Alligator mississippiensis: one gene and its partner. The protein of the gene in region 2 interacts with the protein of the main gene of each other region in a pairwise test. Links are inferred from orthologs where the notes say so. Each region holds a gene or a part of one and is shown on either strand. Other genes may lie near its edges.

What was found. The genes of interacting proteins can lie anywhere in the genome.
Region 1: the proteins of BBLN (region 2) and CEP290 interact in binary tests that used the Homo sapiens proteins (3 or more experiments, as listed by UniProt). The two-hybrid records come from large-scale screens. The link is inferred for Alligator mississippiensis from reciprocal best matches to the Homo sapiens genes BBLN and CEP290.

Annotation. Positions count from the first base shown.
Region 1 is NC_081827.1:84,380,429-84,386,432, forward strand, and holds the start of CEP290 (centrosomal protein of 290 kDa), read right to left. Parts: upstream 3,388-6,004; 5' UTR 3,289-3,387; intron 2,943-3,288; exon of another isoform or gene 2,762-2,942; intron 2,265-2,761; 5' UTR 2,199-2,264; intron 245-2,198; 5' UTR 216-244; coding exon 114-215; intron 1-113. UniProt on the Homo sapiens protein: Involved in early and late steps in cilia formation. Its association with CCP110 is required for inhibition of primary cilia formation by CCP110.
Region 2 is NC_081835.1:57,733,607-57,739,610, reverse strand, and holds BBLN (bublin coiled-coil protein), read left to right. Parts: upstream 1-1,736; 5' UTR 1,737-1,767; coding exon 1,768-1,852; intron 1,853-4,630; coding exon 4,631-4,827; 3' UTR 4,828-5,716; downstream 5,717-6,004. UniProt on the Homo sapiens protein: Essential for intermediate filament organization in intestinal cells, interacts with intermediate filament and regulates intestinal lumen morphology.

The DNA.
Region 1 (6,004 bases), on a different chromosome or scaffold from region 2:
TAACACAGAATTAAACAAAATTTATACTAATGCTAAATCTTTGTGGAACCAGAACTGGTTCACTAAATATGCATAACAAAAACATTTACATTTCTTGTACTTCATACACGTACTTTGGACACAGTCTCCAGCAATCTATCCGCCAGTTCCTCTTGACGTGGAAGAGCATCTGGGTCAACTCTCATAAGCATCTTCCAGTCTAAGTTGGGGGCCATCTTAAGTTTAAAATAGCTTTGTTTCTTCCCTGAAACAACAACAAAAATAATAATGATCATTACATTAAAGCTAAAACAATTGCCAAACGCAAGAAAGTGAATCACAGGAAACAATACAAGACTTTACACCTTCCAAGGGTGAACTGTTTCATTGGTTTACACTCTTCCCACATCTAGATTACTTTTGCAAGCATGAGGGATAGAAATGTTCTTTTCCTTTTAAATAAAATCTTGGATACTGCACAATATGAATGCATCACTGGGAGATATATATACAAGAACCAGATCAAGCACTACATTGATACCTCTGTCTTATCATCTGCTTCTCACAACCTGTTGACCAAAATCTATCATGAGGGTGCTATTAAGCATTAGAAGCAATACACCCACCCAAGTGTAAGTTTCTTTCTACTGCCTATAACCAGCCAGTCTACAACTAGGTACTGCAAAGTTTTTGTGTATTATTGGACATTATGTGAGGACCTGGAAAAGATTTTACATGAGGTAGAGATTAATTGTTTGCTACTGTTCATTGGCTGCTCCTACCCAGGCTGACAAAGTCCAAATAGAGCAATTAGATCCTACTACATATAAATAATTTACTTATTCTCCTTATGAAAATGGCTCTCACAGTTGGAAAAAAAAACAAGCAAGTCAGTTGCTGCTAGTTGACGTAGAAAATTAGAACAGATATTTTGTGCAAATTCTCAGATAGGACCTCTGTACAGTGCTGCAAGACCTTTGAGATCTTTTTCACCATTCATTTTACTAAAGTTGTGGGAAATTTCTGCACTATTAGAAACTGATTCACATTCCTCTGCATTAAATGAACCCTGGGTAGAGATTTGCCAACTTAAAACTTCCTGCCATTACCATCCTTCAAAAACTTTCCTATAATTGTCTGAACAGTCTGCCAGAAAAACTTCTCCAGCTGTGCAATTAAGCTGGGATACAAATCACTCATTTTCTTTGCCACCTCTCGGTTTACTAGGAGTTTTAAAAAATATGCAATATATGTATATGTATATATATGGAGAGAGAAACATAAACCGTTTGAGATTAAGAACAGACCAGCGTCTGTTCTCAGGCCAGCATTTACGCAGGTTATGCACTTATCCAAACTTTCATTTAAACTATCAATATTTAAGTACACAGTCCTGTTAGTGCTGTGGTATTAGCAGCCCGGAAAATGACTATCCTCCCATCATTTTAAAGACTTCTAATAGTCACTCTTGGAGTTATTAGAAATCATGAAAATGAGATGAGATGACAATCAAGGAAATAAATACCCCTCATCATTGTCAAAGCTTAATAGCTGGCCTTTGACAGCTGCTGCTCCTTCGCTGCACAACTAGGATATGAAGTAGAGTGGTTGAAAGATACACAGGCCTCTAACCATTTTATGCATCTAACTCATATGTGGATAAGAAGAGTCTGTTACCATACAAGCAGGTTGCAATTTTTTGCCTGTTAGCACATGTATCAATTATTTGCATATGGATTAAATGTATAAACCAGGTAGCTTCTACTACCTGCTGTGTAATATAATTTTAATCCATGTAAATACATAATATCTGCGACAGAAAGGCTGAAAGGAAACAGCTGTCAAAAAGCTGCCCTTAAAAGCCTTGAAACTGACCAGAGCATGCCAATTTCAGGGCTGCTTTTAAAAGCTTTAAAAATGTCCAGAAGCCAAGTCATTATCAGGACTGCTAATAGCCCTGTACAGTACTGAAAAAGACTGAGATAGGATATTGTGTTCTTAATGAGTGCTGCTTACACTGAGTTTGGGTAAGTTCATAAATCAGGAAAATACACAGCCTTTTTATGTTTCCAGACAGAAAGCTATGCATTTAAACAGAGTACATTATGATGTCTGATTTCCCAAGGAAGATGTGACAATATGCACATATTTCTGATCTAAAAATTCTCTAAATTAGGGTGAAACCACAGAAGGACCTCATGCAGAACACAACAAAATACCTTCTGAAATAGGAGAACAGGTCTGTTATTTGAGAGAAAAGATGACAAATGAAGACAAAAATATTCCTGGAAAAGAAAGAGATGATAACCCTGTCAGAATAAAAAGCAGAAAGAGAGCCTAAGACAACAAAAAGGCTAATGACATCAGTACAATGATTATAAGAGACACGAGATGTAATGACCTAGAACCCCAGCCCCTACTGTTCTGAACCTACTGTTCTGAAAGAGCTCATAAATCCTTCACATGTTTAACAGCCAGGAGGCATCCAGGAACCTAAGCACAGAATCATCTCCCCTCACCCAGCGCCCATCTGGGGCAGCACTTGAACCACACAACCTGCTGCCTGGAGGAGAAGAAATCAATGGATTTATTATTATTATTATTATTAATAATAATAATATATTTTGTGTTCCAGGTCAAATCAGCTAAATCAGTTCCAAATCATATTGACTGAGCAGAAGTCAAGCGCTCCAAAAACCGTATCAATGGAGCAGGCAGAATTCAATCTTTCTAAACACCATGTATGGTGCTACAACCAGCATTCTCAGCCCCAGGCTCTCACCCTGGGACTTCACATCCTCCCAAATCCACTGGCAGGTGTCCTAGTTGCAGGCCCAGGCCCGCAGGTCTTGGCATTCGGATGCCTGCAGATGCTACAGGAAATCATCCTTCCTCCCAGACTCTTTAGTCCGGGACTTCAGATACTTCCCACACCTGGTCTTAGTGTGTAGTTTAAGTGACAACTGCTCTGACAGGAAAAAATGGACTTTCCCACCCACCCTCCTCGCCCCTGCACCGGCCCGTGCGCTCTACACGGAGCGAGAAAGACCTCGCAGGTCCGGGGAGCGAGATGAGCTCCACCGCTGCCCATCTCTCGGAGCCGGACACCCAGGCAGGCGACTCCTCTGACCCTTGCAGCAGCAGGCCCCGAGCAGCTGGAGCACCCCCGGCCGGGCACCCCCGAAATTGGCCGCGCCCACACGCCTCCTCCTGCCCCTCCGCGCGCTGGGAACCCCCCACTAGAGCGACGCTCTCCCCCGCCCAGCGGCACCCGAGGGACGCCCTGGCCTGGCCCAACCCGGCCCTCACTTGTCGCCCCGGGCCCTACGGGAAGCGGCGGCCGCTGCTAGGCGACGCCATCCACCAGCCCCGCTGCTTCCGAGCCCCGGATGGACGCTCGGCCAAGGCCAAGCCTACAAGCCCCAAGGTGCACGGCGGCACCAGGCTTGGAACGTGAGGCGCCGCTCGTTAGAGACAGCTGTGCCGCGGGCGAGACGAGCGAACTACCGCTCCCAGCATGCCCCGCCACCTGCCGGCAACTACGATTCCCGGCTGCGCACTACACCCGGCATCCTCCGCGGCTGGTGGGGAGGGAGGGAGATGGTGCGCACGCGCATTGCAGAAGGGAGTCACCGCCTCAGGCTCGGCGGCAGCGGCGGGGCTGGGGACATGGAGCCTCGCGGCTGGGAGGCAGTGTTAGCCTGCGGCGCCAGGTCTGGAGCGGCCCGGACGGGACGGGACGGGGCGGGGCGGGGCGGGGGCGCGGAGCTCGTTTCCGAGCTGGTGCTGCCTGCGCTGCTCCCGGGAGCTGAGGCCGGCCCCTCCCCCGGGGCGGGGTCGGGATGCGGCGCCTCGGGGCGGGCGGCCGGGGCCGGGGGCACCTTCGACAAGAGTGCGAGGCCCAGGCGGAGCTGCCCGGGGCTGCGGCGAGGCGCAGGGTGAGCAGAGCCGGAGCAACGAGCTGTCAAAAAGAAAAGGGCACGAGGTCTCCCGCGTGAGGCCAGGAGCTGCTGAGGGCCGGGGGCCAGGAAGGCGCGCTGCGCCGGGGGCCCTCGTGGCTTTCTCTGAAGCCCCTGGGGCTTGGCGTCGCCTGCCGGACTGATGAGATGCCAGGCACGGCGGCCCCGGCCCTCATAGCAGAGGTGCAAAGCTGCCTCTCCCTGTGAGCGCCTCTTGGGGCCCGGTGGTGCCTGTAGGGCCCTGGGTCTATCCGTGCACCTGGGATGGTCAGGGCATCGGGGCAGAGCACAGGAGATAAAGGGGTATAAAGCCCATCTTCGTGTCCGCGCCCCGCAGAACGGATTTGGTTACGAGTCTGAGAAGCTTTTCAAATCGCCAGTGAGAAGTTGAAAACCACGCGGAGGTGGACATTACCAGATGGGGTTGGAAACGCTCAGCTCTGTAGTTTTGGGGGCAGTCACAGTACACTCTGTTTTCACAGAGGTGCGAAAAAATGCTGAGCAAAAAATGTGTCTAATGTAGCAATGTTTTAAGTATGTAAATGGTTAAACAACAATTTTATTTATACCGTTTACTGTTTAGAAACCTCCAGCAGGAGCAGCCTTGGCCTATGCCCCTTGTGTCTTCACCATACAAGCAGCTCTGCGTGGGCCCCAGGCCACTGGCAGGGAGCTGTGGGTGGGGGATAGTGGTGTGGCTGAGCCATTTGGGGGTGCAGCCCAGCTGTGGAGCTGCGGCTCCTTCTCACCATCGTGGGCTGGGGCTGTGGACAGAGCCGGGGCTGCGGACCTCTCCTGTGCCTGGATCCCACCACCTCAGGGAAGCAGGGAGGTGCTGGGTCCCCCCACATGGGTCAGGCGGGGCCTTCCCATCCCTGTGATGGGTTTGTCGCCCCCTCATCTCCAGCAACAAGGTCCAGGTAGGGTGACAGGGTCCTGTGCCTTCTGCCGCACTTATGCCACTGTGGCCTGGACCTGAAAGGGCTGCTAAGAGGTCATTGCTGGCCCCTCGCATGGTGAGCACAGCCTTATGGCATTCTTTTGGAGCAGCAGGGATCCCAGGGGGAGTGTTAGGGCTGAAACAGCAGCCTCCTAGGCTGGAGCTCATGAATGCTGTGGGGCTAAGATCACCGCTCAAGGAACTAGCCTCAATCCCCTCTCTAACCTGGAGCTGCCTGCTACAGCTGCCATGGTGCCTCTTTAGGCCATGCCAGCCCTGCCTCAGGGCTGGGCCAGGCCCCAGGTAGCCCCATTGCCACAGACAAGAAGGGGAAGGACATAGTGCACCTGGCAGAGGCCACCCCACTGGGTCTGGACCTCATCTTCCCCCAGGGCAAGCTGGGGAGGGCTTGACCCAGCAGCACAGAGACTTCCAGGTCCAGATCAAGGTGGGACAAGCTCAAGGAATCTGTTACCTTGCCTGGGCCCCGCTGCTATAAGGGGCCTGGGAAGACCCTCCATGGAACTAGGAGTCTTGCTGCTGTGATGGGAAGGCTCCCCTGTGGGGGAGCCCAGCACCTTCCTCTGTTCTTTCCTCCCTGTGGCATGAGGATTTGGACACGAGGAATCTGCAGCTCCAGCCTTGAGGGCTGCGGTTCTGCAGCTGGGCAGCACCCCTTAGTGGTTTGGCTACACCTGCTGCCTCCAACCCATGGCTTCCTGCCAGAGGTCACTACACTTTGAGTTAACTGTTTAACCAATATAATTTGAGGAGATTAAATGGATAACTTTTAAAACAATATTTATATTTACATTCCTGATTTAAAGGCTGTGTTTCTCTCAGCTGTTCAGTCTATCCCACAGATGACCCTACCTGTTAGTATCATCCTGATGTAGTCTTTTTGCCTAATGCTGTTCTGCTACTTGAGGGTCTGGTGCTGTAATAGCACCTGGATAAGACAGGGAGATAAGAGAACTTCATGGGTGTTTGCTCTTCATTATGGAATTAAATTCAAAGTAAATATTCTGGAGTAATTGCATTGTGTGTCTGAAGCTTTACTCTTCTGTTACTTTTCTTAGCTCAACATTTTAGTTGAGTAAAATGTGAAGATGATGATGAGGGTTTT
Region 2 (6,004 bases):
TTGTACTAGTCGAGACGATTTATTTTATTAGACCAAGTCCGGATCGCCTTTTCCTCTAGACCCATACGGCTACAACCTGGATGCCCGACACCTGGAAGAGATCGAATTTTAGCTGGTTTTTAAAAATGAAATCTTCATATTTTCCCGAGTGGGAAGCAAGGGTGAGCACCTGAAACCTGAGATCCTGCCTTTGTTTCAAGGCAATCTGCATCAAGGCAGGACCTCACGGGAGGTGAGAGGCTCCACACCCGCTAATAAGTTGGTCTAATAAAAGATCAGATTCAACCAAAAAGCCTTGTCTGTCCAGACCAGCGATGAACTGCCTGCCCAGAGGAGTTGTCCATCTATTGGCTCCTCCGTGAACGCCTATGAAATATGAACTTTCATTTCTACTCGAGGACTTTTACAATCTTTTCTCCCATGCCCGGTGAAGGGTGTTTGTGTCCGAAAGCTTGCAATTAAAGAAACTTTTTTGCAAAAATCCTGTTCGCCTAATAAAAGATATCACCTCTACTATGAGTCCTGATTGCCTGAAGAAGGGCATTTGTGCCTAAAACCTTGCAAAGAACAACTATTTAGCTGGTTGAATATAAGATGACACATTTACACAAAGAACCTGGTCTGCCTCTGAGTGGACGAACATGAATAAAACATTCTCTGCAAGCAGCAGAGCAATTTTTCACAGGGAAAACTAAAGTCAAGATGGTGCTTGTGAATATTTAGTGAGGTTTTTTTTCCCCGCTTTTGAAGAAAGTCTACTCATCTCCACCCTCTGCTGTCACTGCACTGATTGTCTAATCCTCCCCTCTGCTTTATGAATCCACATGGAGGTGGAAAGGAGAAGGCTGCACTTCTGAAAAGGAGGGCAGCCCCCTCCTTTCCATCTCCATGTGGTTTCATGCCCCTCCATTCCCCACCTTGAGTGCTAGGCTGGTGCAAAGTACTGGCCCAGGCTTCTCCAGTCTAACGCATAAAAACAAGGAGCGGATAGTAACCGTTTGCACTTCTACAGCAGCCCTTATCTGAGATCTCAGAGGTTTACCCAGCTGATCAGCACAGATATTCCAGTCCCCTATGAAGCCACAGGTGCTGCAGAAGGGCTGCCCAGGGAAGCTGTGGGGGCGCAGGGTGCAGCTGAGTTGGTCTAAGGATGCGGGCAGAGGAGGGTCTTTGGGTGAATCCGATCTCTTTGATTAGAGCCACTCGAATCCTTGGAAGTCTCACTAGCAAGCTATTGGGTTTAAACCCAACAGCTTGCTAAGAAGAATTTTTCCAAGGATTGGAGCGGGTCTAATCAAAGAGATCGGATTCAAGCAAAGTCCCTCGTCTGCCAGGGAAGCGGGAGACTCCCCATGACTGGAGGTGTTCAAGGGGGGGGGGCAGCCACTGGCCAGGGGTGATGGACGGGCACCGGACCCCAGTTCTCTTTCCTGCCTGGTGCAGGCGCCTGGACCCGCTGATCTTCCCACATCCCTTCCAGCCCCGCAATCTGTGGCTCTCCGATTGCACTAGGGGTACTTCCCGGGCTTCTTTGCTGATTGCACCTGCGCCCCCTCCCCGCACAGGAGACCCAAAGAACCTCCCGAGACTCGCCAGCTTCACTCACTACCCAGAACCAAGCACTTTACTTCCGGGGCGGGGCCGCGCTGTCCACAAGCCCCGCCCACGTGACACACCCGCCATCGCTCCGCCCCCTTCCGGGTCAAGGTGGCTCCGCCCCTCGTCGGGCAGGGGGCGGGGCTTGGCGGCGTTAGTTCCGGGCGCAGCATGTCGGGGCCGAACGGGGAGCCGCACGTGGCGGGCGGCGCGGGGCCGGGCGAGGACGGCGGCGAGGACAGCTTCGGGGAGGAAGGTGAGCGGCGCCCGGGCAGGAGCCGGCTCTGCTTGGCCCGAGGCAAAACGGCCACATAGTGCGCCCGCCTCCCTGAAGCTCGGCCCCCGCGGGGAGACTGGGGGTTGGAGCCAGGCCTCGGTCGTGGGAAGGGCTGTGCCTCCCCGTCCCTCTGCTGCGGAGAGAGGCGAGGGCGAGCGCTGCTTGCGCCAGCGGTGCAAGGTCTGGGATGCCGAGCGCTCTTCCTCGGGGCTCTCTTTGTAGTGCCTTGCACTGGGGAGCGTGTCTAACCTTACCCACCTACATCCTTGGCCCAATCAAATCCTCGCCTCTGGACCGTCAGGGCTGCATCACTGTTGCGCTACCATATAAGTGGAAATTTCTTCCTCCTCCTTGGTCACGCTGGAATAGCTTGTTCAGAAGGAATTGCAATTAAAGGTATTTTTTTTTTGCAAAAATCTTGTTGGTTTAATAAATCCTCTCTACTATGAATCCTGATTGCCCTGTTCAGAACACACCCCAGTCTGTACTGGGTTTGTCTCTGCATGCCTCCCCACTGCTCCGGGACATGTCCTCTTTGCTGCTCCGGCTGAGAAAACTAGACCCCTGCCAGTGGGATGCAGGCTGTGGCACCCCTCAATGCTCCTTTCAGTTTTTTCAGCTGTGCAGCAGCCAGGGAATCGACAGTTGTTCACCTTCAGCGCCTGCTCTTGCTTGCTTGGTAGACCTGTAGGATCTCAGAGAGTTTGGACTTTTCTATAGCTCCTTCCTAAGATCTCTTGAAGCTTTCTGTATCTGTATAGTTCTAGGTCTTGTCAAGGCATTTGTTCCAAAGTATATCATTGCCAGTGGAGACTCAGTAGATGACTTCATAGTCCTGTTAAATCTTAGTTTTTTGTGTGTTGGCTCTCCAGAAACAACACACGGTCCTGTTGTCACTTGCTGACAGCTTGGTATGCTCTTCTGTAGTGGAGTTGCCAGTGGCTACTGTCTGCATTAATTGGTTGGGTGGCTGAACCTCCCCTGGTACAGCTTGTGTCATACCAGAAGGATGCTCCTCTGGTATATTCCCCTTGTGGCTTCATGTTGCATTTCTGCAGACATTCAGCAGTTGATTTGCTGAGTATCTGATAACACCTGTGATGTTCCTTGCTGGGTTGAACATCTGGCTCTCCTTCCTTGCTTATTTGCAAAGAGTTTTTCTGCTATTTCAGGGGTCTCCACTCTCTCTGGTTTTCTTTGTCACAAGGGGAAGAGCAATGCAGCAACAGCTATCAGTTGTCCAAAAAGCTTTTGCTTTCTCAGAGGCTGTGCTGAAACTTAAACTTCTAAACTGCACCTCTTCCAGTGTGGCCTCCTGTGCCCATAGCTGAGAGGAGAATGCAGCACACAGGGATTAACGGTGGTTCTGTTCAGGGGACCCAGCCATAAGGCCAGTACTGATTTAAAAATAGACTTGTAGCTTGGACACACAAAATAAACTGACAAGATGAACTCAATGCACCAGTTGCCAGTTCCTTTTACTTCCAAGCACAGGATCCTCTGTAACTCTGCTGTGTGCTGCTCCTGTTTCCCTACTGAATGGTGGCTGCATGAGGTCTGGTGGGAGAGGAGGGCTGCTGACACAGGCCCTGGCATCTCATGAGGTCAGAGGATGAAATATCCTGAAAGCTTCAAAACAGTACTGTCCCAGGCCAGGGATGGGTCACTTGGCATGATCTAAGCCACTTCATTGTGTTCCCATTCAAGTCAGAGTTGCTTACTTCAGTGTCACACCTAAAACGGAAACAGGGTCAGGAATCTTGGCATGGCAGCGTATGGTGCAGGCCTGAAGTTTTAGTGAGGGTAGGGCTGTGCCCCAAGCATTTCATAATGGTAATGACTGTGCAGGTGTGTTGCTTCAGGTAACATGAAAGACATGTCTCCAAATGAAAGCCAATTTAATTCTTTGTTATACAATTCAATCATACTTGAATGGAATGAACATTTCATCTTGTCCTTTGAACAAACTAGGCTGGGGAACCAGCTTGAGCCTTGCCCTCAGGTCAGTTTGTGCCAGCTGTGTGGCATGCAACTTTGATCCCGCACAGCTGGTTTAGACTAGATCTTCTCCTCCCATGTGAGGTCTTAAATGGTCAAACTTGACTAGCATGGTCTCAGTAAATGGGTTAACAGCTTGGGGTGGATGGATCAGTGTGCCTCCAGTTTTATTGCTCCTGGGATGTTGAGATGTTTCCGTTTGGCCCTTGCAATGGGATTCACCCCGCCTCAACCATGAGAGATGCTGTGATGTTGTAGCAGTTTAACCCAGGCCAGACCCTTAAGTGACAGGTCCCAGATTAAGTACCCTGAAGATGCAAGTCCTCCAGGCAGTGTAAGCTCTTCTGTAGTACCCTGCCACACTGTCCATGCCCTGAGCAGACAAACCTACCACAGGAGTTGAATAGGTTAATTTAACCCTGATATCAGTTCAGATTTCTTGCATTTTTAGATAGCCATTTCCTTGGGAACAGGCCTGAACCCAACAACTTGCCTGCAAGTCTGAATAGTTCAGGTTAGATGGCCACTCCCAGGCTGTGCTGTTGCACAGAGGTAAAAAACCCTGTCACATCACCAAGTACCCAAACCACCGTGTCCTATTGACTATCCAAACCACATCTATGTGACAAGATGCAGTTGCATTTTACCTATACATGCTGCCTTGTATATTCTGGGCATATTTGTAAGAGTTCTAGCAATGTGGTCCCTGCTGGCCTGAACAGGGGGAGTAGAAGTTGAAATTGTTCTACTTCCTCCTAGAATATGCAGCAATAAATTCCATGCTGGACCAGATCAACTCCTGCCTGGATCACCTGGAAGAGAAGAATGACTACCTCCATGCCCGCCTGAAGGAGCTGCTGGAGTCCAACCGGCAGACACGTCTAGAGTTTCAGCAGCAGCTGAGTGAGGAGCAGAACATGCAAACTGACACGCAGGGACCAGAGCCAACCAGCTAGTTCCATCAGTTTGTGCACAAACCGCGTCTCCTGGTTGATGCTTCCCCAGGGACTTCCACTGTCTCTTGGTTTAAATGTAAACTTGAATAGAAAAGGCACATCCTGCTTGCTGTGTCCCCTCCAGTGGTTCAATTTTCTGCCCTTTCTGTGTATCTGTGTTTTCTTTTTAAATGTGTGAATTATACTACAGAGGTAAAAGAGTAGGTGTGGGGGAAGTTGATCCTTCAACATGCCACTTAACTCCAGCACTGAGCCACCAGTGTCTCCACTGGAACTAGTCCATGGGAAGTCTTGTTCATGTCACAGGCCATGTGAAATGGAGTCAGCTGTCCTTCACAGCTGAAACTACTTGGGGAGGGTGCCCATGCCTGTATCTTCTAGCCTATCTTTCCTCTAATATGGGAATTGTAAGGTGTACAGTGCTGGCACTCTTCTAGCAAACAGTGGTGCTGTCCCAGCCGCAGCTTTGTTCCTAGCTTTAATCCTGGGCAAGGTGACATGCTTCTGCCAGAGGCTAGTGGCCTAGTCAGTCTCCTGCCCTGTTGCTACAGTTCCATTCTAATTCATGTTGTCAGTTCTATACGAGCTCTGATTGAGAGAGTCTGGTTAACTTCCAAGAGCACAAGACTGACCAACTGGACTCCCTCTTCTGAGAAGATGTAGCATGAACTACCATTGTGCTCATTTAAGCACCATTTACCATTTAAGCTGTAAATGGGACCTTACTGTGACTTGTTTCTAGCTCTTGTGGGTACAACCTGGTGCCAGCATTGTGAAGCAGTTGTTCATATTTCACTACTGGATTTTTTTTGTACAGCTTAAAGTTTTTGAACATTCAGAGGAACTATTTATAAGATAAACTGTTTTATTAAAATTGCCTTGAACCTAACCACACTGGGAAGTCTCTTCTGAAGTTTGCTTTCTAGATCCTGTACTAGTAACTGAGCCCATGTTCTAACCCGTGTCCTGACCCTAGAAAGTGTTGGCTTGAGGCAGTAGAGGACACTGCAGAAGAGCGCACACACTTTATCTAAGGGTGATCTCATCTCTCAGCAGTGAAAATTCCATTAGTCTCATAACCTGTGATTATTAAAGCACATGATCTGAAGATGAGGAATACCCTCAAGAGACAGACTTCTCTCCACGTCAGTGGTCTAGATGTCCAGCTGGCTTTTCT